Astyanax mexicanus: one gene and its partners. The protein of the gene in region 1 interacts with the protein of each later gene in a pairwise test. Links are inferred from orthologs where the notes say so. Each region holds a gene or a part of one and is shown on either strand. Other genes may lie near its edges. The genes, in order: bysl, ddx17, mipol1 and thap1.

Region 1 (7,577 bases):
ATTATATCGGCTAGAGTGCGCCTTTACAAAAAAAAAATAAATACATTAAAAATAATTTTTACTATAAACATTGATATTTCTCTTTAAAATGAAGTTTGTGAACATGTTCAAACAAATATATACCAGCAAAATACAGTCCTATATTTAAACAAATCCAAATACATAAAGTAAAAATAAGATCAATTCAAATCAAATAGTTTTGCATATGTACAGGACTTTTAGAGGATTGAAATTACGTTACTCTCCTTCCCAAAAATTACAGCAAGATAAAAAAATATATAAATATAAAAATGAAAGACACTAAACGTACAATACGACATGGACACAGAGAGACATACACGAGACAAGAGACACAAGACAATAGTGCAATAGTGATGGGGGGATTAAAAGGAAATGACAGCACTGTGTTGTAAACAGAACAGAACCTGTATAAACATCAGTGCAAATAAAAGTGCACTAAATACTTTCACTAAACATTATGTTATTTATCTTTCAAGTGAATATGTTTGGAAAAATATATATACCAGCACAGTGCCATGTTGAAAAAAAAGTTAAATACATTAAGTAAAAATAAGATAAACTAATAATATGTTTAATTAGAGAGAATGATTTTTGTTGTGCTTGTTGCAACAATATATTTGCATGGAAACAACCAAAAAGTATGATGTTTTTTCCAACATCCATAAGGATACGCGTGCCTATGCTTTATATTGTGTGGTGTGGCATAGGGATGGGACTAAATATTGATCAGAGATATAATTGCATCTTTTTTGTTTGCAACTACTTGAATTTCTTGTCTCTTAATGTGTTTGAGAGCATCAGTTGTAAAGTAGTGAAGAGGTAGAGTTACAGGTATACAGTGAATAACTCTATTTGAGTACTGTTCTAATCCAGATTATGAGAAGCAAGAAATACTCAACTAAGTAAAAAGAAAAAATACTTTATGACTAAGAAATTAAGTCAATCTAAAAAATTTCAAGAACTTTGAAAGTATCCTTTAGCGCAGCCGCACATCAAAGCGATATGATGAAACTAGTACTCAACAGGACTGCCCCAGGAAAGAAAGAGCAAGAGTACATTATTAATAAGAAGAGCCACACTGCCCTATAGTGGAGCAGCCACCTTGCACTGTTACCCTTGTTGTCCAGGTGTTCTTTACCTCACTGGTGGGTTTTTGTTCATGAACATCTGTATGGCTTTTTCATCATCCGGATCCACCTCCACCTCAGCAACCGCCCCCACCTCATGATCCTCTGTTCCCATGGCACCCAGCTCTGGCCATTCCTCATCAGAGTCTCCATCCTGAGTATGTGGACCTGCAAACAACACATACTGTTAATAATGATAACAGCAATCTATAATGATTTCAATAACATAAAATAATCAGATTTATAACTTTACAACTAGGGCCATATCATATCACAGGCAATAATATTGCCAACATTTTCAAATACAGTTAACGATATTATACCCTGAAATATTGTACCATATCACTCACCACTAATTATCACATTAGGGTACTACTTTTTTTTTTTGCTGTTTTTAGCAAAAGAAAAATTCACACTGTTCTCATTTTACATTATATATCTACTAGAATCACTTGAAGACGGCAAGAAATTAAAGTTATTTTCCAAGATGTGTAGAGCTGTCATCAAAGCAAGAGGAGATACTTTGAAGAATGTAAAATATATAAAACATATTCTGGTTTGTTTAACACTTTTGTGTTTTTCTGCACAGTTTGGAAGACTTTATTATTAAATTACATTGGGGAACATTTTTGAAATAATGAAAAGAAAAAAATAACACTGAATTTAAGGTGACCACAACAGAGCACTTAGCTTGTGTGGTGGGTGGTTACTCGCAGTAATAGCACTGATTAGCATGGTGGTGGTGTATGAGGTGTTAGTGTGTGCTGAGCTGGTACAGTAAGTTGATCAGATACAGTAGTGCTGCTGATGGTTTTAAACACCGTGTTTAATCTCTCACTATCCTCCACTCTATTACACACTCCTACCTACAGCTGATTAGGGCTGCAACGATTAGTCAATATCATTGACAATGACGATTTTTAAAAATTTGTCGGCTCCAAATTTTCGATGTCGACTAATCGTCAATTAGTAGCACTACACAAATTACTGGGGACAAACACAATGTTAGAAGGGTAACTGGGTCTCCAAAAGAGCCCAATCACAACAGATTTCACATTTCCTCACTAAAGATCAGCACCTTCCATATTCAAAAGACAATGTTCTGGATATGTAAAGGGCATTTAAATCCCATGTTTAGCTGTTTTCTATCGTTTTGAACCAATAGTGAAAGCTAGAAACAGAAGCTCTACCAACAGCAAGCAGAGGGGAAGGCAGAAATAATCATTGACTAATCGAATAATCTGAAAAATATTCAGAAGATTAGTTAAATATTAAAATAATCATTAGTTGCAGCCCTACAGCTGCTCCACCTTACAGATAATGTAAAATTAGAGACAAAATATCTGAATTTGTTGCTGCACAGTTTATTTTTTTGTTATTCTTAATCCAGCAGTGACACTGAGGTGTTTAAAAACTCAAGCAGCACTGCTGTCTCTGGTGGTGGTCTATCATGTGATAATATTAATGTATACACGTTTATTTAACTTGCCCAGAACAGTAGAAGGTTTCTTCTTGGCCTCTGGTGTGACTCCGAACTCAGTCTGCAGCTCTTCTTGCTGAATCCGAGCCTGCTCCAGAATCCTCCTGGAGAGCTTCTCGTCCACATAGTCCTCCTCCTCCTGTTTTCTGCCCCGGTTTTTGACCCGGCTGTTGGTTCTGATGGTGTCGGACTGAAGCAGCTGATCGGCCAGGGCTACAGAACCTCCGGCCCGGTCCGGTCCACCACCTTTATCCCTCTTTACCTTCGGCATGGCGACAGACTGCTCAGATATAAATGGAGTTTTAAGTTCTACCAAAACCCTCTGTCGCACACACGTGGGTTTCCCTCAACGCTAATGGAGGTGAGGTAACGCAGGGGGTGCTCTGCCGAAAACTGACAACGCCGAAAACTGCACCCGTAGGACCCTTCGGTGGCTGGTTAGATGTGCCTGATGTAAAAGCGATTTTTTTTTTTTACAAATCTTAATTCTTTTGGTAACATATAGGGTCTCATGCTGTATTAAAATGAAATTTACACAGCTTTATTAGCTAACCACATCAATCATTTTATTTACTACATAACGTGCATTTATAATTTTTTTCTTTTAAATAGTTAATACATAATGTATGTTTTTTTTTTTTTTTACTATATTAATATTATATAATTTTTTTCAGTTTTTGATCACTTTTATACCATTTAAGTCATAATTATATTTTGTACTATTTAAGGACAGGCTGAGATTTATTATTATTATTTTTTTTCAAATTAATAATTTTAATAATAATTTTAGTGTGCAATTTTAGTTTGTTGTATATATTAATGCGTGTATAAAATTGACATTAGACGACTTTAGAATGACATATACACAATTATATTACATAAATGATTTTATTTGCTACATAGCGTGCATTTAGATATTTTTCTCTTTTTAATAATGTATTTATTATTATTTCCATTTTTACAGACCAATTGTTAGTCGTTAACTATTTTTTTTATAATATACATGTTTTTTTTTCGAGGAAAGACTAAAAAGATCATATTCGCCAATACAAATATTAGATTAAAAACTAAACAGAATTATATGTTTTCTTGATCATGTATATTTACATTTACAAAAGTATCTTGTCTTTCCTTTTTGTTTTATGTTGTGTTAATGTTTGTCTTTATAAAATGTTAATAAACTTTTCCAAAAAAAGGTCATTCTAATCAGGCGGTGTGACCGGAAACCAGTGAGTGCAGATTGAGTTGGAATACAGATTAGTATGCAGCACCTCCTTTTAAATATCGACGTTTATTTAATTTCTCCAGGTAATAATAGTTTTAATGTGCGAAAACATTTTGTTGTATATATTGATGCATGTATATGAAATTTAAAATTGTAAAAGTTGACATTAGACGACTTTAGAAAGACTTTTATTTTGTCAGTATCCGGATGAAGTCTGGCTGGGTGTTTTGAAGCTGTTGTGGCCGCGCTGTGCAGAGATGGGAGTTACCTGGTAAGAAGAATAAATGAATAAAAGAGTTCAGTTTGGCGATTTTTACTGGTTTCCCGAGATATAAAGAGTATTAATATATTTGTAACTGACATGTGGAGATTTTCTGTAGATCAGGGTTTTTCTCTTTATGCTGCCTTTGTGATCTAAACCAAAAACTGCTGTTCATGAACCAATATTTGGTGGAATAACCCTGTTTTTAATCACAGTTTTCATGCATCTTGGCATCATGTTCTCCTCCACCAGTCTTACACACTGCTTTTGGATAACTTTTTGCCTTTACTCCTGGTGCGAAAATTCAAGCAAGTTCAGTTTGGTGGTTTGATGGTTTGTGATCATCCATCTTCCTCTTGATTATATTCCAGAGGTTTTCAATTTGCTAAAATCAAAGAAAATCATCATCATAAAGTGGTCTCTTATTTTTTACAGAACTGTGTATATTTTTGAAATTACTAAAATATATATATTACATTACATTACATTTGGCAGACGCTTTTGTCCAAAGCGACTTACAATAGTCAAGTACAATGTAAAATAAGTTTCAAGGTAAAACATCTTTGGATAGGGATAAAAGGAGGACACAGGGGAATAATAGGATAGAGGAGTGAAGGAGAGGAAGAAGGAAATGAGGTTAGAAGTAGTTAGTGTGTTAGAGGTGTTAAGAGAGTAAGTGCTCTTTGAAGAGCTCTGTCTTCAGGAGTTTATTAAAGATAGTGAGAGATTCTCCTGATCTGGTAGTGGAAGGTAGTTAGTTAGAGGTGTTAGGAGAGTAAGTGCTCTTTGAAGAGCTCTGTCTTCAGGAGTTTCTTAAAGATAGCGAGAGATTCTCCTGATCTGGTAGTGGAAGGTAGTTTGTTCCACCATTGGGGAACTCTGTATGAGAACAGTCTGGATTGCTTTGTGTGAGTTTTTGGCAAAGCGAGGCGACGTTCACTGGAGGAGCGCAGCGGCCGGGAGGTAGCGTAAGCCTTCAGGAGCGAGTGCAGGTAGGAAGGAGCCTGTTCTGTCACCGCCTTGTAGGCGATTGTAAGAGCTTTGAATTTGATGCGAGCATCAACTGGTAGCCAATGGAGCTCAATGAGCAGCGGGGTGACATGTGCCCGTTTTGGCTGGTTGAAGACCAGACGTGCTGCTGCGTTCTGGATCATCTGGAGATATATATCATCTGGATCATCTGGAGATATATATATATATATATATATATATATATATATATATATATATATATATATATATATATATATATATATATATATATATATATATATATACTCCCCTACTTAAATAAATACACCCCTACTTAAAATGCACTGAAATAAGTAAGTTTAACTAGTTCCCTAGTGTCCCTGATTATTTCTCAGCTTTTTAATTATGTAATAAGTAGTGTGCAATAGAGCAGGACTACTTTTTATACTTTGTACAGTAGCATACCTGTATTCCAGTGTGTGTGTGTGTATGCGCTGTAGTGTGTGTCAGGTGCCGGTGGCGGAGGGGAAGAGTGTGCAGCAGACGGTGGATCAGCTGCATAAGAAGCTGGAGCAGCTGGGAGGAGTGAAGCAGGGCAGCTTCTTTGTGGACTGTGAGACGTATCACACCACAGGGAACGCCAGCGGTAAATACACTGTATATAAAATACCACCATAAACATAAAAAGTACTAACCCTTTGTTGAATAGCCTACCTCCACTCTCCCATAGCTTTCTGAGATACATTAATTTTGTGCTTTTTGCCCAGCACTCTTCACAACGGCTGCTTTGGGGCATCCACTTACCGACTGGTAATTTGCTTTTAACACCGTTATCCAGCTCAAAGTAGCTCCACATCTCATTGCTAGAATCTGAAGAGCTCTAACGTTTAAAACAAGGCATTAAGAGCTTTAAAAATGCACAAGAATCTTGTTAAAAACCTAAGCCCGAAGCTTCCTGTGCACTTTTTAAATTTCTAAATGCCTCGTTTTAAATGTCAGGGCTCTCCGGAGTCTAACAATGAGGTGTGGAGCTACTTTGAGCTGGATAACGGTGTAAAACTTATTTATCTGCAGGGGCAATGGATGCCCTGAAGCGCACGTTATAAAGAGTGCTGGGAAAAAGCACAAAATTACTGGATCAAGGAAAGCTGCAGGAGAGCGGAGGTGGCCTATTCAACTAAGGTTAGTACTCTTTATCATGTTTTACTACACTAAAACTAAATGTTACCTCAATTTGACCAAGATTGAGGTTAAATCCCTTCAGTCTTCAGTGCCATGCGGCACTTTAGGGGCCGTAGGAAAAATACCGGGCAAAATGAGTAAGAAATAACTCTATTTAACTTTCACAAAATGTGACCTTGTGATACAAAATCAGTGGCAAAATATGTGTACATTTTTTCGTATTTTACCATTGATTTGACAACGAGGCCACATTTTGAGTAAAGTTAAAGGAGAAATCTGGTTTGAAATGGACTTGGGGTGAAGTGAAACATGATGTTCACATTTCACACTTAACATTTAAATAGAGTTATTCACTGCTCATTTTGTCCAGTATTTCCCTTTTCCCTTCTACTGCACTTAGTAAAATAAAAAAGTGAATTTCAGTAAAGATTGTTAAATGAAAAAGGAAAGACTAAGGCTTTAGCTTGTTGTTTTTCATCATTTGAAGAGCCCCTGCTTACAGGCAAATAATGATATATGTAACACATAATTATATATATAACGTGTGTGTGTGTGTATGTGTGTGTATGTGTGTGTATGTGTGTGTATGTGTGTGTGTGTGTGTGTTAGGTCAGCCCTCTAAGCTGCTGTATGTGATGCATAACTCGGAGACTCCGCTGAGCTGCCTGGCTCTGTACGAGGGGGGGCCGTACCTGACTGCAGATGCTAATTTCGACGTCCTGATGGTGAAGCTGAAGAGCCACTTCCAGAACGCTAAAGGTCACAAGGTCGAGAGCCGCGGTGCACGCTACCGATACTGTGACTTCCTGGTGAAGGTTGGCACGGTGACCATGAGCTCCAGCGCCAGGGGGATTTCTGTGGAGGTCAGACTTTAATTCCAGATCATCACTATGAATTTAGGGTGGGAATCAAGTTTTTTTTAGGGAGTTTCTATAGCCCTATCCGGATGGGATTTGTTTCTCAGGGGGATGTCCGTGAAAATTAATACACACTTCTGCATCCGGACTGCAATTGAAAAAACAGGAGGTCCAGTGAGTTTTTAGGCTTTCTTAGTCACGTGACATCGTGTTCAGTAGCTCCTCCATTTCGACTCACTGTTGTGTTTACGTGGATCTCCATGGAAACGCACACCCAAATGTAATTATGGTGCGCAGCAGTGGACAAATAGCTATTTAATTAAACGTGAGGAAACGAAACTCAGAGATGTGCGTCCGGACAGGTCTAAAATTACTGGAGGACCGCACAATTCAGAGAAACGGGAATAAAATCACAGTGGAAGATTACCCCAAAACCCCCTGAGAAACTAAT
Region 2 (6,925 bases), on another chromosome or scaffold:
AAAAATATTATTTAAAGCTGATATTCCAGTATGATTTTGGATTTTTTTTCAGACCAAATACACATCAGATGAAGAGTTCTGGTATTCTCAAAATCAATGCTTTATATTCATTATTTCTGTGCAAAATGGCTTTCATGTCATGTTGCCAATTCATTTTAAAGGATAAAATCAGCTCGGGCCAGGCTAATTCCAGGTTTTCCTTAAAGAAGAAGACTAGTACTCTTCAGATCATGTGTATTTGGTCTGGCCCAAGATTAAAAAGTCCTTGAAAATCACACTAGAACATCAGCTTTAAATTAAACTTTTTTCTGCCTTATGGATCGGTATGCCATGTTGCCAGTTCATTTTAAAGTATAAAATCAGCTTGGGCCAGGCTAATTCCAGGTTTTCCTTAAAGTAGAAGACTAGTTCTCTTCAGATCATGTGTATTTGTTCTGGCCCAAGATTAAAAAGTCCTTCAAAATCACACTAGAACATCAGCTTTACATAAAAACAATTGTGCATTATGGATCGGTATTCCATGTTGCCAGTTCATTTTAAAGTATAAAATCAGCTTGGGCCAAGCTATTTCCAGGTTTTCCTTAAAGTAGAAGACTAGTTCTCTTCAGATCATGTGTATTTGGTCTGGCCCAAGATTAAAAAGTCCTTCAAAATCACACTAGAACATCAGCTTTAAATTAAACTTTTTTCTGCCTTATGGATCGGTATGCCATGTTGCCAGTTAATTTTAAAGTATAAAATCAGCTTGGGCCAGGCTAATTCCAGGCTTTCCCTAAAGTAGAAGACTAGTACTCTTCAGATCATGTGTATTTGGTCTGGCCCAAGATGAAAAAGCCCTTCAAAATCACACTGGAACATCAGCTTTACATAAAGAAAAATTGTGCATTATGCATCGGTATTCCATATTGCCAATTCATTTTAAAGTATAAAATCAGCTTGGGCCAGGCTATTTCCAGGTTTTCCTTAAAGTAGAAGACTAGTTCTCTTCAGATCATGTGTATTTGTTCTGGCCCAAGATTTAAAAAATCTTCAAAATTGTACTGGAACAGTGGCTTTTTTGTGCAAAATGGCTCGTTATACCATGTTGCCAATTCATTTTAAAGTATAAAATCAGCTTGGGCCAGGCTAATTCCAGGTTTTCATTAAAGTAGAAGACTAGTACTCTTCAGATCATGTGTATTTGGTCTGGCCCAAGATGAAAAAGTCCTTCAAAATCACACTGGAACATCAGCTTTACATAAAAACAATTGTGCATTATGGATCGGTATTCCATGTTGCCAGTTCATTTTAAAGTATAAAATCAGCTTGGGCCAGGCTATTTCCAGGTTTTCCTTAAAGTAGAAGACTAGTACTCTTCAGATCATGAGTATTTGTTCTGGCCCAAGATTAAAAAGTCCTTCAAAATCACACTAGAACATCAGCTTTATATTCAATTTTTTTGTGCATTATGGATCGGTAGGCCATGTTGCCAGTTAATTTTAAAGTATAAAATCAGCTCGGGCCAGGCTAATTCCAGGTTTTCCTTAAAGTAGAAGACTAGTACTCTTCAGATCATGTGTATTTGTTCTGGCCCAAGATGAAAAAGTCCTTCAAAATCACACTGGAACATCAGCTTTACATAAAAAAATTGTGCTTTATGGATCGGTATTCCATGTTGCCAGTTCATTTTAAAGTATAAAATCAGCTTGGGCCAGGCTATTTCCAGGTTTTTCTTAAAGTAGAAGTCTAGTACTCTTCAGATCATGTGTATTTGGTCTGGCCCAAGATGAAAAAGTCCTTCAAAATTACACTAGAACATCAGCTTTACATAAAAAAATTGTGCATTATGGATTGGTAGGCTATGTTGCCAGTTCATTTTAAAGTATAAAATCAGCTTGGGCCAGGCTAATTCCAGGTTTTTCTTAAAGTAGAAGACTAGTACTCTTCAGATCATGTGTATTTGTTCTGGCCCAACATGAAAAAGTTCTTCAAAATCACACTTGAACATCTGCCTCATATTTTTTGAGCGCAATGGCTTTTAAAATATAATTATATTAAATATATATTTAATTATTTATTGTAATATATAATTATAAATTCAGTAATTAAAACAAATATTTTACAATATACAAAATTATATTTAATAATATATTGTATATTTACATTGTTAATAAACAGATGTACTGCTTTTCTTCATTCTATCTCCTTCAGTGTTGATCTGTGAGGTGTTTAATATAAACAGCGGGTGTTTGTGAACGCTCCCTTTAGTTCACGGTGGTTCAGTGAAGCGGCAGCTGCGAATATCAAACCAACTTCAGCCGGGGAATACGAGGCTGCGAATATCGAGCCAAACGAATCTGGAGCTGCGAATATCAAACCAACTTCAGCCTCGTACTAAAGACTACATCAAATACAGTTCTGTAGGTTGTGTAGATTACTGGGGTTATTTGGAAATTCAGAAACGGAAATACTCAAACAATCTAAATCACAGAAACTCGTTCTTACCCCCTGTCGCGTCCACGATCTCGGTCTCTATCGCCATACGAGGAACTTCCCCTCATTTTACAGAATTTTACACAAACTCCACTTTACACTGCAACTATTTAACTAATTAACCAGCCACTAAACGACTGATATTTTTATACTGTAAATTATTCAGTAAACCAACTAGAAAAATAATAAATATCACTTTATAAGTGATAACAATGAATAAACTTAAAAATAAGCTCAACTTTTAGCTGAGAACTCGGGTTTGGGTTTGTGTTTGTTGTTGTTTTGCTAACTGTTAGCTTAGCATTCTAAATTAACTACAGTCTCAATCGTGAAGCTCCTCAGAAAATCCGGCTGCAAGTCTAAAATCGACCAATGCACGAATAATAACGACCGACCAACCGAATTATTTGATTTTCTTCAAATAAAATTGATCTAAATGTAAACTTTATTCGATAAACAATTCGTCGAATTGTCAGAGTCCGACTGCTTCGCTGAAGGCCGAAGACCCGCCCCCTATCCTCCAGTGTGGTGCCGAATTCCGCACCCCGACACAAACTGCACCCCTAGGACCCAATGAGAGGGCTGTTGTTTGCGCTTGACTCAAAATTGTGTCGATTATATATTGTCGTTGTTGTCACAGAAACATCCTAACTCTAAAAGGCGAACTACTGAACCTCTAAATTATCAAGGAAAAATATAAGATAATATTTATCATAATTAATAAATAATGTCCCCAAATTAATCAACAATTTCTTAAATTTAGAAAATTGTTTTCCCTCTAATCTGAGGGAAAGACTATTCAAATAAAGAGTATTTCTTGTGAAATTGAGGAAACGATGTATTAAAGGGAGGAAACTGATAAACATCAAGAAGGGCAACAGTAAGAGAAATTAAAATACTAATTTGAGTCATTTCTGTGTTTACAGGTGAAACAGGTGTGTTGAAGGTAGTTCAGTCAGCACGTTATCTTTAATAATTTATATGAGATAAATGAGATGAGCTTTATATAGTAAAATTAGTCAAATTCTTGAAGCGACAACTAAAAGGTGTTTTGGCCCGCCCAGACCGAAACCTAGAGGGTGCAGATTGCGACGGGTAACGTACGAAAGCAGCACACCACCAGCAGATACCAGAGATTCTATAGAGAGGAGAAAATTCACTTCAGAATCTCCTCCAGGCTTGTTTGACCACCAGGGGGCGCTCCTGAGTGAGTCCAAAACAGAGAGTCTATGGTCCAAAATGAATGTGTTCATATGGAGCAACTTTTATACTAAAATGTACTCATTTTCCCAACACAGAACAAAGCTTTTAAACTCCACTTTTTTTAGAAAATGTTTTGGCTGTAACTCCAGTATTAGCTCACCAACCAGTCAGCTCACAGTAGCAATAATGCTAGCGTCTTTACTGCCTAAAATATTATTACTGTAGAAAAACTGAAAAATAGACGTGTATTATTTGCTTTAGTAGTAAAATACATAATCCTACGTTTCAAATTTAAAGCAATATCTTGGCTAAGCGGAAATGTACTATTTGTAATCAGAGTTTTTAGCCGTTTAGCTCCATTATCTTCCACTTATTTTGGACTCTCTTGCGGGCTCCCCCTAACGGCGGGCAGCAATTCTCTGTGATTATAACGGTAGCGATAAGAAGTGGGTGCTCTCTTCATAAACCAGCTCTGCAGAGACTGCGCGTATATTTCCTGCGTAGACTGAAGAAATCTGCGCAGTTGCGGTTAATGAAAACATATTTTACACAGAATGCATTAAGCAAAATCATATTAAAAAATAATACAAGCAAAAAAGTACAAAATTATAAAACAGTAGCAATTTATTAACTATTTTTAAATTCATGTTTTATATCATTTTATTGTTGTTATCCCTTCTGCACGTATATTCTATCTATTATAACAACACAATTTTGGCCAAAAAACTAAATAAAAAAAAACACTGGTCTCTTGATGTGTGGTCATGACGTTGAAGTGAAAATACAGGAAGTGCTCCGGTGTTCTGTCGAGTTGGGTTACCTTGTCAAACCGCGCTACCCAAGTGTATATTTAACTGTAAAAATAAAGAAGCCCCATATTAGAGCATGTTCCCAGTAGGAATGTATCCCAGTAAATGTTGCGTTAGTATTTATGGATACAGCATAAATCACTGTGTCATGGTAAAGTTATGGCAACGAGAGCTTATTACAAACTGCTTTTGTATTTTTTATAATAATTATTGTATTCATTATTGTTATTAATTTACATTTACACTTTTTTGCAATGACAGTGAGTTCAATTTGTTTAATGCACAAAAAAAAACACGATAAATAATCAAAAAGTGTAGGTTAGCGCATGTGCAGTGCCTTTAGGAAGCACGTATCGATGGGTATCATAACTGGACAGAACACCGGTTCTCTCAGGCTGTCTGGATGTACTGTATTACAGATTCTAGTTAAATAGTGAGGAGAGTGTGTTCTCTGTAATGCTGAACTTTATTTAGAGCTTCATGTTGAGTTAACGACTGGATTAAAATATTAAAATGCCCCTCCTGGTTCAGAACAGACGGGTCGAGCGCGTGACTTCAACTACAGACCTGTTCCTCAGATATTCTCATCTAAAGGTGAGTAACGTTTCTCCGCTTTACAGCAGTTCAGCTCGAGTAACAGATCTCAGATCCCAGTGTTTAAAACCTGCTTCTGCTTCTTAAAGGAAAACGCCAAAGAGTTCCGGTCCAGACCCGCTCTGACTGTCGAGCCCAAGCGCCTCCTTTACGTTCAGCAGAGAGAATTCGCAGCCACGACACCGGCGGACAGTGAGTCTCTGTGTATCTACAGGTTAACTGTGTTCATCTGACTGTAGTTATTTATCTCCTGTCCTGAAGCCTGTCTCTACAGTTTAACTGTGTTTATCTGACTGTAGTTAAACTTACTTATCTCCTGTTCTGAAGTCTGTCTCTACAGTTTGACTGTGTTTATCTTACTGTAGTTATCTATCTCCTGTTCTGAAGAGAGGTATGTCTCCTCTACAGGTTCTGTCTCGGTCATTGGCTCTGGAGATGCAACTACATGTCACCTTGTGGTTTTGCGGCACACAGGTAGAGACCCAGTTTTAAAGAGAAACTAGCACTAAGTGGCCAAGTTGAATGTAGATCAGGTTTCCTTTACTAAATTGAGCCTTAATCCAACAGAGAAGTAAAACAAATAATGAAGTACAAATTATACTACTTCAACTCAAAAAATGTTCAGAATAAATGAATTTACATTATTGCAGTTATTCAGTTCAAAATGTGAAACTCATATATAGATGTATTACACACAGAGTGATCTATTTTAGACGTTAATTTATTTTATTGTTGATGATTATGGCTTACAGCCAATGAAAACCCAAAAAACAGTGTCTCAGAAAATTAGAATATTATATAAGACAAATTGGTACTTTTGGTAGTGTGCCAAGTCCTGCTGGAAAATTAAATCTGCATCTCCATAAAAGTTGTCAGCAGAGGGAAGCATGAAGTGCCGTAAGATTTTCCGGGAAAACTCTGCACTGACTTTGGACTTGATAAAACATAGTAGATCAACGTCAGCAGATGACATCATGTCTCTCCAAACCATCACTGATTGTGGAAACTTTACACTAGACCTCAAGCAGTTTGGACTGTGTGTCTCTCCAGTCTTCCTCCAGACTCTGCTCCCTTGATTTTAAAATGAAATGCAAATTTAACTGATGATCAGTGATGGTTTGGAGAGACATGTCATCTGCTGGTGTTGGTCCACTGTGTTCTTTCAAGTCCAAAGTCCAAGTGCAGAGAGAGATGCGAATTACATTTTCCAGCAGAACTTGGTACACTGGGCACACTGCCAAAAGTACCAATTTGTCTTATATAATATTTTAATTTTCTGAGACAATGAATTTTCAGTTTTCATTGGCTGTAAGCCATAATCATAATCATTAGCAATAAAAGAAATAAACACTTAAAATAGATCACTCTGTGTGTAATACAGCTATATAAAATATGAGTTTCACATTTTAAACTGAACTACTGAAATAAAATAACTTTTCTATGGTATTCTCATTTTGTAAAATGCACTACTTCGTTACTTTCCTTGAGTTTAAATGTTGGTTATCTATTTATTAATATTTTTCAGATAACATTTTACTTCTTCTCCTTAAATTTTACACAATTATCTGTACTTTCTACTCCTTATATTTTAAAAATAGCCTTGTTACTCCCATTTCATTTCAGCTTGTTTTTTTTTATTCCATTGTTTTGAACCCTATCCAGATAAATCCATTTATACATATAAAGTGTGGTAAAATTTGATTGTGGTTGGATGAGAAGTATAAACATATACCATTCTGACATCCTATTGGTTTATACACGATCCATAACACCTGCACGTCACGTCACACTCAGCAAGAACATAGCAGACGTATGTATCCTAGTATAAAGATGATTTGTGCAGAGAC
Region 3 (7,826 bases), on another chromosome or scaffold:
AGGAATGAATGGGATGCACAACGTTTGCTACTCTAGCTATGATACAAAAACTTTGGTCAAAAACGGCTGCAGATCTATCGCTAAACTCTCCATCACCAAGTCATTCCACCACATAGTTCCTTTAGCAACAACAAATGCTAATACTGTACTTTAGGTCATGGTTAAATCCAGTCTGCTCCATTTGCTCCATTATCACTGTATGTACTCTCTCGAGGGGTATCTGGTTAGTGGTGCCAAAAGTCTTTACTCTGCTTGGACTATGTATGTTTGAGCCAGAAAATAGAGCAAAGCCAGCAACAACCTATCAACTACCTGGAATACCACAGCAAGCACATAGCAACCACACAGCAATGCCATAACAGTTACATAGCAACACAATACAATACAGCATGTAGCAACACTTGGCAAAACCTTAGAAACTACCATCTACCAATATCATGGCAACACAATAGGAAGTATCTGGAATACCATAGCAACCACTTACCATACACAGCATTTATTGGATTATTATAGCAACAAAATCACAGCTGCCTGAAAAATGGAACAACTTTTACTGTACAACCATAACGAAGTTACCATAAACTATTGGTTTATTCCAAGGCATAAAAAGGGTTAGAGAACTGTTTGGCAACCGAACATGTTCCCCAGAAAAAACGTTAATAAATTAAAAGACTGAATAGTTTATATTGAACAAGGAGGCGTTTATTTAAAGTCATTGTTCAGTGTTTTCTTTAACAGATGAACAGGTATTTTAAGTGGCAGCAGCAGCAGAACTTTGCAGTAGTAAAAAAGTGGCAAAATGAATACAAATCCGAACAAAGAATTTGGGGTTCACAGACCCACAACTGTTAAAACTGGAGCTCCAGAAAATTAATTAAATGCAAGCAAAACATTAGAGCACATTTACAAAGCTATCAAACACAAAGTAACAAAAAACACCTGTTCTGAGGGACAAAGAGAGGTTGAAAAACATTTCAAGTATTCAGGATCTGTACTTTTAAACTAGCAATTAATTAGTACAGGTTTGGCAGGTAATGCTCATCATAAGGAAGCTGCATATTATAATTCTGGGGCATGATACGTTTCTTAAATGGCAAACCTTGAGTTCTCAATAACTTTGGACTTCTCTTAGCAGCTAACTGATGTCCACAAAGCAGGGCAAGCGCATAAAAAAGAATTAAAGTGCTCTCAGCTGATAAATTAATTCAATAGCAGTTAAGGAAACTGTGGAAGTCAATGTTAGCAAGAAAGGTGAAACAAATCCGCATGTGATAGCAACGCCCTTCACGAAGGTTAAAGCGACGCAGGAGTGGAGATGCACTATTCTACTGTGCAGTGTTCTTTAATAGAACAGTGAAGAGAAGGACATCTTACAAGCAAACTCCTCACAACAATTAAATTTCTGCAAGGTGAGACATCTGTGAAAATAATTTGCTATTACTATTTTTCTATACTTTTTCAGTTCATGAAATGAGATTTGAGTAAAAGCTCAAGTGCTTTATCAAAAATGGACTTAAGTAGTAGATGAAGTGTTCTTTAAGCATCACACTTGCGGAAGTATTTAAGTACTCAACATCTTTTGTAAAAAAGAATAATTACCCAGTAGAGTGCAGGTACACATTTTAGTGCAGCAATTATACTTCTTTAATATACACCTCTGTGAAATATAAAATAATGGTGCTTTACTTTTACATTGAATTCTTTCACAAAAAAAGCATACAGCCATAGTGGAGGTGCATGTGGGGGCATTCATCAAAATGAAAATAGTTCATACTTTTTGTTGTCAGATACCACTACTTACATACATACATACATTTTGGAAGCAGACCCTAGTAATTCTATTACACAATGAACAATTTCACATCAAAACCCTAAAAGTCTTTGTTTAGACAATGTAATGTAAATATATTTGTCTCAAGTGATTTATATATAAGTTAAATATTATAAAGACACTACACACTAACAATCAACACTGTTGGTATTACTAGCTGGCTTGCAGTGTTGGTCAAATGTGTTAAATACTCTTAATTATTACAATATCCCACAAAAGAAGCCAAGAAAACAAATAAGATCCCTTAAGTTCAGTTTGAGACTCAGTTAGTGCAAAAAAAGGAACAACCAATAAATTTATAACCATAGCTCCACTAGACCAAACGTCTGCTGTGTGTGTGTCTGTGTGTTTTACTCAGTCTTTCTTTTTTCTTGTTTCACACCGAGCTTCAGAAAGTTGTTAAACACTCCAGCACTCACCTCGCACAATACAGCTCATTCTCCAGACTTGATATTTTATGTTTCGCCCTTTGGACAGCGCTTTTAACGTCGTGTGCCATGCTCCTTAAATTCATGAGTCAGAACTGAAAGATAACTCTATCTGACAGCAGGACTTTACACGCAGCGTCTCCGTTTACACTTAACCTACAGGCAACTTGATACACAGGAGAGAAACAACAAACCCCCTTTGGACGGGGAGCCGGTGACACACAAGCAGAGCACAAAATAAAACACGTATAAAGTTTTAGCAACCAGTTTTACTAAGTTAGCTAAGTTAGCTCACCTAGCTTACTAACTTAGCTTCACTGCTAGCTCAGTTGGCTAGCTAGTTAGCTAACTAACGTTACAACAATACCACACATAACCTGTGATTTCGTTCACTAGTTTACCTAGTTAACTACGTTCACTGTCAAAACTTATTTGTGAGCAAGTTATTATTCCGTTTATGAGCTGAATATCAAAGTGAAAGTTAGCATTCAGTGACTCGCAATCAACATGGCTTTGTAACTTACCATGGAAACCACGGCGAGCATGGCTGACTTTCTGTGTACGTTACCTACACTACTGTGTAAAAGTCACGGAGAGACTTCCTACAGTACAGCCCGGGACAGGCTCCGGATCACAGCCCAGAGGAGAGCAGTGGGGGAAGTGAACAGAGCAGAAAACCTGATGATACGCGATCTGTCCACTAGAGGAGGACAGACGATGGGTTTTGGAAAACGCTCATCTCAAACTAGGTCTGGGCGAATCTCAAACGACCTATCGCTCCCTATATAATCACCAGCTACCTAGTGCACTACACAAGGTTTAAGGGTCCTATGGGTAAATTTCAGTATAACCTGCATTTTGTCTCTAAAGCATAGTTTTTGAAATTGATTACACCAATCTGTAACAATACAACTTTCTCTGAATAAACACATTTTAGAAACATAGAGGAATGTTAACCTTCACTCTAGATCGTGTACATTATATATATATTTTTTATGTAAGCATGTGCTTTTGGCAACGATTCTTTTTAATAATCCTTTAAAGTGTTTAACTAACCCAACAAACCCTTTTTTATTTTTAACATGCTTTTAAATGATTTATACATTTCAGTTATTTGTATTTGTTATTTGTAGCTGCTGCATGTTTAACAGATATGTGACTTTACAACCTTCACACTGTTTTATTTATAAGGAACTGAAGACACATGCTGACTGCTCAGGAATTAATAATATTAATTAAATCTAATATTTTTCATATTGTTACCTTCCTAAAATAACCACCTACATAAAATTTCCTACACCCTCAGCTGAACAGATCATTTGATTCTACACCTTTAGGATAATGTCACAAGTGTGGCTAATTTATTAAAACTAGGTCTAAATAAAATGTGACTTAAGCAATTTTAATAGCTTTCCAAGATTTAGCTAACTTCATTAACTAATTTACACAATGCAGGGCTCATCCCCAATTGATAAGGGATGAGATTTGTACTCTAACATAAAGTTTTATTGAGTTTAATTAGTCTGCAATTTTAGTAATTAATAATTACCCTCTATATGCTGTAAACAGCCATTATGAATTTATGTATGTATTTGTAAAATAAATAATAACTGTGTCTGAAACTTAGGAAATGTTGTTTACTCCGAGACTGGAAGTCAAAGTACATATTTTTCTATTTTTATTATTTAAGATGGAAATTTAAAAACATTACAACTAAACTTAGCACTAAACTACAGCAACTAACATTAGTGCAATACATGATGTGGACGTAACATTATGCCGATAGACATACTCTACAGTGTTTATGTTGTGGATTCAGGACAAGCTTTCATCCACAGCTTTTACACCTAACCCCTCTTTTGTCACCACAGTTTTTAAATGTCTGGCACTTACACACTGACACATCATGAAACAAGTGGGAATTAATCAAATACTAGTTGGATGTCCTCCCTCCCCCAAGTAACACAGACTTGGTTACAGCCATTATATTTTTGTGCATCTCATATTTGATCAGATATATGTGGGGGTGTTCTAAAACATCTGACCTGTAGTGCATTTCTATTACTATTACAATTCTATTACTATATTTTAGTGCCATTTAATCTCATTTAAAATCTTGCTAATTACTTACTAATATTAATGACTAAACTTAAAAACATGAAATGCCATCTATCGATATGACATCAACAATGTCATATTAATACCATGCTCTTCATCTCTGAAAAGAGAGATTACTGGGCTCCAACAGCATAAAGATGAGTGTACAAGTTTTTATCTCATATAATCTTGTCCTCTCCTTGTCCTAAGAACAATCAGTCTCTAGCAGTTGAATAATCTTCATGCCTTTTAAAGTCTCTGAAAAAGTTGAAAAGAAATGAGTGATTAGAAAATGTCTCTACACAACCTTACGCTATGTGAAACGGTCATGTAGGCCATTCTGAGGAGAGTTTAGTTTGTTTTCCTGTAGCTCATACTCTTGTGGTCAAAGCTCACATTATTGTTATTTTTAGTTTTGCCCAGCACAAGAAAAGTGTACTGATAAGAGCAGAACATCTCAGTCCTATAAAAATCATAAACAGCTTCCAGCAAAAACATCTTCAAGGCCTGAACAGATGAGGCCTGAGAGATGATAAAATGCCTTTATTTGTCTGCTCATCAAATCATAGAAATAAAGAAGGTCAAGATGACAACGAGAACATATTGTAAGACAATTATTTAGTATGTTTCTAAGGACATTTATGTTTAAATATATTCTTACTTTTATGTGTTTCTATCTATCTATCTATCTATCTATCTATCTATCTATCTATCTATCTATCTATCTATCTATCTATCTATCTATCTATCTATCTATCTATCTATCTATCTATCTATCTATCTATCTATCTATCTATCTCTGTTGTGTACACTTATTTAGTGTGGCTGCTTCTCTTCCTGAGAGGAGATCCTGTTCCAAATTAGAAGGTACTTTATGGTAAGTTCCAGCCCCTAGGTCTACGATCACTACCTACTTATTTCCTCCCTTATCAAATAATGGGAACAAGCCTTATTTACTGAATATCTGCTTTGCAAATTCTAAACATTTGATGAGAGCATTACTGTTATTTATTTTTGCCATTTGATAGTGATGGATTTTCTCTTAAAGGAAACCACATTTAATGATAACGTTATTTAGTGTGGGGTTTTAGGGTACAGTGTACAAAAAATGTAAATGCAAACTGATATGTACAGATTTGTTTGTCAATGGCCTAGAGGTCCTATAGCTAGGAAAATAGCTATAAATATATTTAACATGGTACGTATGGGTTAACTGTTTTTCCACCACTTTTTTTCAAACATGTTACTAGACACACAATTTGTGCTAGCCTCTTGTGGCCTGGTTCTAAGCAAACATTTGGCCTTGGATTGTTGGTACACTTGGCAACTACCAGGCCCTACTCTTCAGTTGAGATTTTAGGAACTGCCATGTAGAGAAAATCAGTTAAATTATTTATTTGTGCATATTTATGCAGTGATTTCTATATACTTATAAAGCTCTGGAAAAAAATAAGAGACCACTTTAGTTTCTGAATCAGTTTCTCTGATTTTGATGATTTATAGGTATATGTTTGGTTAAAATGAACATTGTTGTTTTATTCTATAAACTACGGACCACATTTCTCCTAAATTCCAAATAAGAATATTGTCATTTTGAGCATTTATTTGAAGAAAATGAGAAACGGGCAAAATAACAAAAAAGATGCAGAGCTTTTAGACCTCAAATAATGCAAAGAAAACAAGTTCTTAATCAAATTAAGAGTTCAGAAATCAATATTTGGTGAAATAACCCTGGTTTTTAATCACAGTTTTCATGCATCTAGGCATGTTCTCCTCCACCAGTCTTACACACTGCTTTTGGATAACTTTATACCACTCCTGGTGCAAAAATTCAAGCAGTACAGCTTGGTTTGATGGCTTGTGATCATCCATCTTCCTCTTGATTATATTTCAGGGTTTTTTAATTTGGTAAATTCAAAGAAAATCATTTTAAGTGGTCTCTTATTGTTTTAGAGCTGTATATCGTTTGCCCTCTGTAAGAGCTGGGTTTGAGGTGGTGGCTGGATCCACTGAGTTTTGGTGTTTTTTCAGCAGATGGTCTCTAGAGGGCATTGTGTGGGATTTCACACATTCCCCCACAGCGCTGAAACATTTGGAAGTGTGAGGAGCTCCGTCCAGTTTCCTTTACTGAACCAAGACCGTGAAGCCGGGATGTTTGGATACTGCTCGGCTGTGTGTGGAGTATGGAGAGTGTTCAGGCGGGGATGAGGTCTGAGCGGGGTTCTGCTGCTGCTGCTGCTGGCTGCGTTGGAGACTCTGGGGACGGGACTGTGGAGCTGCTGCTGCCGCTGTTCGGCACTTGCTGCTGCGAATACCGAGTAAATTAGCGATTCAGCAACCGCGCCTGTTTAAAGTTGCTGGTCTTGTTGATTCAGCTGAGGTGAAGCGACCGAGTCGCGTTTCAGAGGATGCTAAAATGGGAATTAAGTTTTGGATAATATTTATCCTCGTTCATTATAGTGAAGGAGTTCACGGTAAGTTTGTTCAAAATTGTGTGGATAAATAATGATAAACAGAGTGTAAACAATGTTAATGAATAGCCCACTTAACTTAACTAGTTAGTTAACGTTAGCTAAGCTAAGCTAAGCTAGCTAGGTTAACTAACTTAGATAAGCTAGTTACCAAATTAGTTCGTTTTTGTTTTTTTTGTTAAATTGAATTTATACATTCAAGTACATTTATAACAAGTAACTTAAACAAAAAATAAAGACACCTCAAGTTAGGTTAGCTAGGTTGGCTAACTAACGTTAGATAACTTTAACGTTAAGTTACTTGTTGGAAACCGCAGCAGCAGCAGCAACAACAACAACAGCCTGGTTTACCCTCTGGACTGTATTCAAGCAGAATTATAGCTTTATAAAAGAAACCAGCAATCTAAAATAATCCTGCAGTCCATGCTGAATGGGCTTTAAAAAAATAATTATTAGGTTACCTTTTCTTTTATAAAAAATAGATCTTTTTTTGCATATACATAAAAAAATCTTCATTTTTTATTCGGCATCACAGTGTTTGTTTAACATTGAATCTGTCATCTAGCTAATAGTGTCCCCACATTAGTTCCTCCATAGGCAGTGAATGTAGGCATTGATTAGGCTGTTCTGGCTGAAGCTGCAGCACTGTAGAAGCCAGCTGTAGTCTGCCTCCACACTGGAGAGCTTTCATCCTTCTGCAGCTTGCATTACGTCTGCTAGCCTCAGTCAGAGCATGGGCACTGGAACAGGTCTGTGCAGTGGTTTTGGCACAATGGAGACCACAGATTTGGGTACAAAAGCTTCTAAAGCTGTGAAAATGCAAACTTGTAACATGTTTGGTGGTATTCGAAACAGAAAGGTCTGCAAAACTAAGGTATTTTATCTTATTGTGATAAATTATGTGAACAATACACTTAATGTTGATTTTCTTTTGGATTTCTTCAACACTGACCAACTGTATTTTTTTTTTTATTTAAAAAAAAAGAGTGCATACATCAT
Region 4 (7,534 bases), on another chromosome or scaffold:
TTTTAATAGAAGTGAATGGAAACTTTATATTACTCTATAAGTAATTCTGGAGAATTTCTTTTGGTCAGTCACGGTGAAATTACAAAAAAAAAAAATTACAGCAGATATATATGTATATTTGTATACATATATATATATATATATATATATATATATATATATATATATATATATATATATACCAGTCAAATTTGTGGACACATAGCTCTACCCCACTAGGCTGTTCCCTGTTTCAGCTGCATATATGCTGATTGTAAATTGTGTGCAGGAGTGACAGATCACAGTATAAACCAATAGGGAGTCAGAATGGTATATGTTTATACTTCTCTACATCCAATCACAATCATATTCACTCTATCTGGATGGAGAGATTTATCTGGATAGGGCTTTTGAGAAGCCGGAATAAAAACGAGCTCAAATGAAAAAGGAGTAACGAGGCTATTTTTATTAAAATGTAACGAGTAGAAAGTTCAGATAATTGTGTGTAAATGTAAAAAGTAGAAGTAAAACTTTATCTGAAAATTAATTACTCTAGTAAAGCATAGATAACCAACATGTCTACTTAAGTAAGGAACCTCTGGTCAGAGCTGTTCTGGGGCACGAGGGGGACCTACGCAGTATTAGTCAATTTTACGTACAGATCTTGTGTTATACTGCCACCTTATGGCCGGATATTCAACTGTCTCTAATTAGGAAAAGCAATCTGTTATTGGAACGGTTTTAATTTATTTGAATGTCTCTTTATTTTTTAGCGCTTTTGCTTTATGCCTTTTAAGAATATTGTATTTACTTATTTTACTTGTTTAACACATTTATGTATTATTTAACTAGTTAATTAATTTGTATTAGTTTTAACCTTTAATTTTGAGTTGTATGTGTTTTTTGTATTATTTTTGGATGTATTTACTTTATTTTAGCTTTCCTGACTGATTTTACTATTTATGCTTTTTTCATATTAAGATCATTCTTAAACCTATTTATTTTATTTTTATTTAATTTTTACTTTTGTATCTGATTTGTTAATCTATTATTAATTAAATCTTAATTTTATTATCTTACATAAGCTACATTTATTTAATTTTTCTATTTTTTCTTTTGATTTTTTAACATGCTTCTTTTGCACTGTTCTTTTTGCATAAATTGACATATTTTTTAATTAAAAAAATAATTTTATGAATTGTATTATTGTATTTTTTTTTCTTTTGTCTTTCTTTTTCAATCTCTGTCTATTATAAATTCTCAACTTTATTGAAAGGTCATTAGGGTCACCTTCACTGTACTCTGATTAATAGTTGATTGATTAATTGATTAATTGATTAATTGATTGGCTGACTTTTTGGAGTCCTCACTCACTTACAAAGTGAGAAATGTAGCTGTCAAGCAGATTTTGATACTGATATCCTAGTAAAACACTTACATACATGATAAAAAATATATGTTTTAAACATAAACACTACATATTATGCAGTCTATATACCACACAACTACACACACAGCATTAAACACATAATAAAGCATTTATCTGTATGTAAAACACTCTGTGTATATAAGCTTTTTGTCTAATTAGTGCATCAGCACAGCCTACCTGCCCTGCAGATAAGTTCAGCATGACTCCAGACTGATGCTGAGGCTGAAATCCCACCAGCGGCAGCAGCAGCAGCAGGGAGATGATCAGCAGCAGCAGCAGCATGGTGGATCCTCACAGCTGTGCTGGGGGAGTAAACACACTGTGCAGCTCAGACTCTCTCTCACTGTGTTAGCACCACTACTACTCTGGGTTTCCTGCTTCAACCTGCATCTAAATTTCCTGTTTACACCACAATCACACACCCAGCCAGACACACACACATACAGCAGACAGACAGACAGAAAGCACACAGACAGACAAACAAAACAACAAGCAGAGAGACAGTAATGCACACAGACAGACAGCAATGGACACAGACAGACAGCAATGCACACAGACAGACAGAAATGAACACAGACAGGCAGACAGTAATGCACACAGACAGACAATAATGCACACAGACAAACAGACAGTAATGCACACAGACAGACATAAATACATACAGACAGACAGGCAGTAATGCACACAGACAGACAGACAGCAATGCACACAGACAGACATACATACATACAGACAGACATACAGCAATGCACACAGACAGACATAAATACATACAGACAAACATGCAGTAATGCACACAGACAGACAGACAGCAATACACACAGACAGAGAGTAATGCACACAGACAAACAGACAGCAATGAACACAGACAGACAGACATACAGCAGACAAATAGACAGACAGAAATCACACAGCATTGAACACAGACAGACAGACATGCAGGCAGACAGACAGGCATCACACAGCAATGAACAGACAGACAGACAAAACGACAAACATGCAGATAGACAGACATACACACAGACAGCAGACAGACAGCACACAGCAATAAGCACAGACAGACAGACATATACACACACAGAAAGACAGCAGACATACAGAGAGACAGCACACAGCAATGAACACAGACAGACAGCACACAGCAATGAACACAGACAGGCAGACAGTAATAAACACAGACAGACAGACAGACAGCACACAATAATGAACACAGACAAACAGCAGTAATGAACACAGATAGACAGCACACAGCATTAAACACAGTCAGACAACAGACAGACAGTAATGAACACAGACAGACAGACAGCACACATCAATGAACACAGACAGCAGACAGGCATACAGTAATGAACACAAACAGACAGCACATCATTAAACACAGACAGACAACAGACAGACAGAGTACTGAACACAGACAGCAAACAGCATTAAACACAGTCAGACAACAGAGAGACAGACAGACAGACAGACAGTAATAAACACAGACAGGCAGCAGACAGAGAGACAGCACACAGAAATGAACACAGACAGACAGACAGTAATGAACACAGACAGACAGTAATGAACACAGACAGACAGACAGCGTGTTTAATCTGAACACAGGTGTTAATGCAGCAGCTCCGTTAGGATGCTCATATGCAGCACGTGCAGTTTAACCACGTGTTTTTATATCCGCCACAGCCCACTGCGTGTGTTTAATGTGTGTTTTTAATGAAGTGAGTAAAGCAGGGTGTTAATATCTCTGTTATCAGAGTAAAATATGAATAATAAAGCTTTAACTGCTGTTCAGATCTCCTCAGAGGAATCTACGCAGCAGCGATCTGTTTCCTTATCGCATCTACGTCACCAAAACAGGGAAATCCTTCCGCGTGGGGCTGCGTCCCATTACGCAGGTAGCGTGCCTGTTCCCTACACCCTATGTAGTCACTATGTATAGTGTTTAATCTAGCGGTTTGTTATGAGATGGATGGATGGATGGATGGATGGATAGATAGATCGTATTACCTTTTTTTATTTTATTACATTTGTTACCTGACAACTCTATAAATAAAATTATATTTAGGTAAGAAATTCACAACTAGAAAACTTGAATTGTTTGCCATCAAGCTGCCGGCATTAGAGGGAGCAAAATTGGCCCGGCTCCCTCTGGGTGGGTAGATGGCGCTCTCTCCCCACATCACTCCTAGGGTGATGTCTGCAGCACAGGGCGCCTGTGAGCTGATGTACCGGAGCCGAGCCGCTGTGCTTTCCTCCGAGCGAGCTGGCTGCTCGGTGATGCTGCATCAGCAGCAGCTCGATGTATCGGAGGAAGCATGTGTTAGTCTTCACCCTCCTGGTGTGTTGGGGCATTACTAGTGATCGTCCTAGTGAGTGGGTTGGGTAATTGGCCGTGTAAATTGGGGAGAAAATGGGAAAAATTTGAAATAAAATTATAAAAAAAAAAAAAGAAAACTTGAATTGTGTTTTAATTATTGCAGACTAAATGTACATAATGTTGTTATTATTATTATTATTATTATTATTATTATTATTATTATCATTTATGTTTAACTTGTTTCATTTTATTTAACTTTTTTGTAACTAATGGCTCCATGTTTCAGGTAAGGTAGAGGGAAGGAATTTGTTTAAAGAGTTTAATGTCTTGAAATATGTAAATAAAAAAATACTGTTGAATGAATGATGTACCAAGTTTAAAATAAATAAAAATATGCATTAAAAATAGTTGTGCATGCATTATTAAAATAAACTGTTTACTTTTACATTGTTCAAGTCCACTGTGTGATTTAGTAAGTTGATGAATTTTGGAGTTCCCTATATATATAATTTGCATATTCCACCAAATCAGTGCCATTTCAGTCCCCAGGAAATAACTTAAAAATAGCATAGTGTCTTGTAGAACAGTAAAATGACCCAGTTGCTATAATGTTAAGTTTGGAATTGCTTAAAAATCCATCTGAATCCTGAATTAGTCACATCAGTTTTCACACTTTATTATGAAGGGAAATAAAAATTTAAGGGGAAAATCTATTTCTAGGGCCCTAGGTAGGGCGCATGCGCGCAGATTGGAGCGCACGGGAAAGTTGCGACGTGCTGATCACATGGACGGATGCGTTTTCCTCCATCTTGGAGCTGGTGAGGAACTGGTGAGGTACTACTGGTGAGGTTCTCCAGCAGCAAAGAGGAGGAATAAGTACAGCAGAGATCCTGAACCCCGAGCTGATCCTGCAGCCGGGCTGATCCACAGCGCAGGACCTCCAGCAGCCATGGTGCAGTCCTGCTCCGCCTACGGCTGCAAGAACAGATATCACAAAGATAAGAACGTCTCATTCCACAAGTAAGATCCTCCATCCATCCCTCTGCACTGCCGCGAGCCCTGTCTGCATAACCTGGCTCTGCTGCTTCACAGGGTGAAGCTGGGTGACCAGTCTATATTTTAGCCACTACAGGACTTTTTGTATTTGTCTTGTTCGGGTTTGATGGTTTAACTGGTCTTTAATTCATTTGATCAATCTGAACAAACCAGATTTCCAGTATGACCAGGCTTAACCATACTGGTAGACCAGGAACATTGGCATGAGTAAGTTAGGTTACCAAGAAATAGCTGGTTGACCAGTATATGGTATGTTCATGGTTGACTTTAGTGGTTTAGCTGGTCTACCAAGCTAGTTCACCAATATGACCATTCTTCCAAAATTACCCCACAACATAAAGCTGGGCAACCAGTATGGTCAACTCTTAACCAGCATGATTTTGTGTCAGTTTGATGGTGTGGCTGGTCTACAAACATGATCAACCTGACCAAGCTAGGTCACCAGTATGACAAAGCATCAGCATAGTTGGCATAACTAATTTGGGGGACCAGCATGACCAGCAAGAAAAAAAAGCTTGTTGACCAGTATATGCTATGTTTATGTTTGATTTTGATAGTTTAGCTGGTCTACAAGGATGGTCAGCCTAACCAAGCCAGGCCACCAGTATGTTTGATGGTTTAGCAGTTCTACAAGCATTTGATCCATATGCACAAACCAGATAACCAGTATGACCACATTAATCCATGCTGGTATACGAAGAACATGAGCATGACAGTTGTTGTTGGGTGACCATCATGATCAGCAAGAAATAGCTGGTCGACCAGTATATAGTATTAATGGTTTGGTCTACCAGGCTAGGTCACCAATATGACCATTCTACCAGAATGACCCAGCTGAATAACCAGCATGACCTCCAACATAAAGCTGGTTGACCAGTTGAGCTCTTGCCCAGTATGATTTTGTGTCAGTTTGATGGTGTGGATGGGCTACAAACATGATCAATCTGACCAAGCTAGGTCACCAATTTGATCATTCTATCAGAATGAGCAAGGTGGTTAACCAGCGAGACCAAACTGGATCATCAGCATGACCATCAACATGGTTAAAGCTCTTGATTTTGATGTTCAAGCTTTAGCAAGCTGGTAGACCAGCGTACTTGGCATGACAAATTTGAGTGACCAACATGAGCAGCAGCAAAAGAAAGCTGGTCGACCTGTACAGGGTATGTTTATTCTTGACTTTGGTGGTTTAGCTGGTATACAAGTTTGATCAACCTGACCAAGTGACAGGTGCATTTTAAAAAAAATTAGAATATCATAGAAAAGCTCAGTAATTCAGGTCATAAAGTGGAACGCATGTATTAAATAAATACAGTGCATGCAGTTTGATCTAGTTTAAGTGTTTATTTCTTTTATTGTTGATGATTATGGCTTACATCCAATAAAACTCAAAAATCAGTATATCAGAAAATTAGAATATTATGCAAGACATATTGCTAACAATGTAACAAAAGTTATTGGTAACAATGATATTCTATTTTTGAGATACACCTGTAGGTCACCAATATGGCCATTCAACCCAAATGACAAAACTGGTTGACGAGCATAATTAAGATGATTAACCAGTAAGACCAAGCCCATTAATTAGCCTACCCAAGCTGGTAGACCAGGATAATTGGCATGATTACTAGTATGATCAGAAAACCTTTGTCGACCTAGGGATGCACCGTGGTATGTTTATGTTTGATTTTGGTGGTTATCTGGTCTACAAGTATGGCCACCGATATGACCATGCTACGGATCTTATTCCAGGTTCCCTCTCGCGAGGCCTGACATCTGTGGGAAATGGGTGGCCGCCATGAGGAGGACCAACTTCAAGCCCACCAAATACAGCAACATCTGCTCACAGCACTTTACCAAAGACTGCTTCAAACGAGAATGCAACAACCGAGTGCTGAAGGAGAACGCCGTGCCTTCCCTTTTTAGCTTCAACAAACTGCAGATAAAGGTACAGAAACCGCACAACACACCCAGTTCCTCCTTATGTATATTATTTATATGTCCTGGGCTCTGAGTGGCTCAGTAGACTGACACTGACTCTAATGACCTCAGGATTGCAAGTTCGAATCCCTGGTAATGCTGCTTCGGCATCAGCAGCAGGAATCTGAGAGAGCACAATTTGCTATGCTCTCCACTGTGGTGGGGATAACTGTTTTAGCTAAATATGGCAGAAATTTGGGTGAAGTATTACGTAAATAGTGATAATCAGTTAAGTATCTGCTCTGTTTGGGTTTTATAGATAATTTTCATATGATGAGAATTTCACACATTAAGTTATTTACATTGTGCTGCATTTAAAATGCTTTTTTACATGCTCTGTGCAATAATACATTTTCACCAGAGAAGTCCTCAAATCCACAAACCCTACAGACTGTTGCTTTAAGGCAAAGAACTTTAGTGCTGTGCAGTATACCTGTCCGACTGGTGTATCAGAGGAGAAATTAAAACTGGTATGCAATTTTCGCATACTGTCATACCGCAAGAGATGCTGCAGTGCGTTGTGTATAATCTTTAAAGAAGCATACTGGCTCAGCTTGCTAACTACAGCTAGCCAGTTAGCATAACAAGCTAACACACTAGAGTAACTATAGCTCAACTCTGTGGAGTAAAAGTCTCTTCTCGTTCTCTCCTGTCTGGAGAGAAATAAGAACAGCACATTATCTGAGGAGCTCCTGCTGCTGTTCCTTGCACTATGAAATTGCGTTATCAATCCACAGCTTAGAGAAAATTTCCTCTCGTTCCCCAGACGAGCCCAG

What was found.
Region 2: the proteins of bysl (region 1) and ddx17 interact in binary tests that used the Homo sapiens proteins (3 or more experiments, as listed by UniProt). The two-hybrid records come from large-scale screens. The link is inferred for Astyanax mexicanus from reciprocal best matches to the Homo sapiens genes BYSL and DDX17.
Region 3: the proteins of bysl (region 1) and mipol1 interact in binary tests that used the Homo sapiens proteins (3 or more experiments, as listed by UniProt). The two-hybrid records come from large-scale screens. The link is inferred for Astyanax mexicanus from reciprocal best matches to the Homo sapiens genes BYSL and MIPOL1.
Region 4: the proteins of bysl (region 1) and thap1 interact in binary tests that used the Homo sapiens proteins (3 or more experiments, as listed by UniProt). The two-hybrid records come from large-scale screens. The link is inferred for Astyanax mexicanus from reciprocal best matches to the Homo sapiens genes BYSL and THAP1.

What each region holds. Positions count from the first base shown.
Region 1 is NC_064431.1:31,842,819-31,850,395, forward strand, and holds the start of bysl (bystin), read right to left. Parts: upstream 3,015-7,577; 5' UTR 2,900-3,014; coding exon 2,638-2,899; intron 1,317-2,637; coding exon 1,160-1,316; intron 22-1,159; coding exon 1-21. Other genes in the region: med20 (mediator of RNA polymerase II transcription subunit 20), read left to right, coding at 4,111-4,124, 5,588-5,733, 6,879-7,132. UniProt on the Homo sapiens protein: Required for processing of 20S pre-rRNA precursor and biogenesis of 40S ribosomal subunits. May be required for trophinin-dependent regulation of cell adhesion during implantation of human embryos.
Region 2 is NC_064412.1:31,361,800-31,368,724, forward strand, and holds the start of ddx17 (probable ATP-dependent RNA helicase DDX17), read right to left. Parts: upstream 3,003-6,925; 5' UTR 2,541-3,002; coding exon 2,485-2,540; intron 1-2,484. Other genes in the region: ntan1 (protein N-terminal asparagine amidohydrolase), read left to right, coding at 4,998-5,078, 5,168-5,270, 5,487-5,552. UniProt on the Homo sapiens protein: As an RNA helicase, unwinds RNA and alters RNA structures through ATP binding and hydrolysis.
Region 3 is NC_064421.1:18,849,530-18,857,355, reverse strand, and holds the start of mipol1 (mirror-image polydactyly gene 1 protein), read right to left. Parts: upstream 3,022-7,826; 5' UTR 2,784-3,021; intron 2,426-2,783; 5' UTR 2,346-2,425; coding exon 2,251-2,345; intron 1-2,250. Other genes in the region: tyrosine-protein kinase receptor TYRO3, read left to right, coding at 6,773-6,830.
Region 4 is NC_064408.1:9,974,248-9,981,781, forward strand, and holds the start of thap1 (THAP domain-containing protein 1), read left to right. Parts: upstream 1-4,523; 5' UTR 4,524-4,671; coding exon 4,672-4,742; intron 4,743-6,530; coding exon 6,531-6,726; intron 6,727-7,534. UniProt on the Homo sapiens protein: DNA-binding transcription regulator that regulates endothelial cell proliferation and G1/S cell-cycle progression.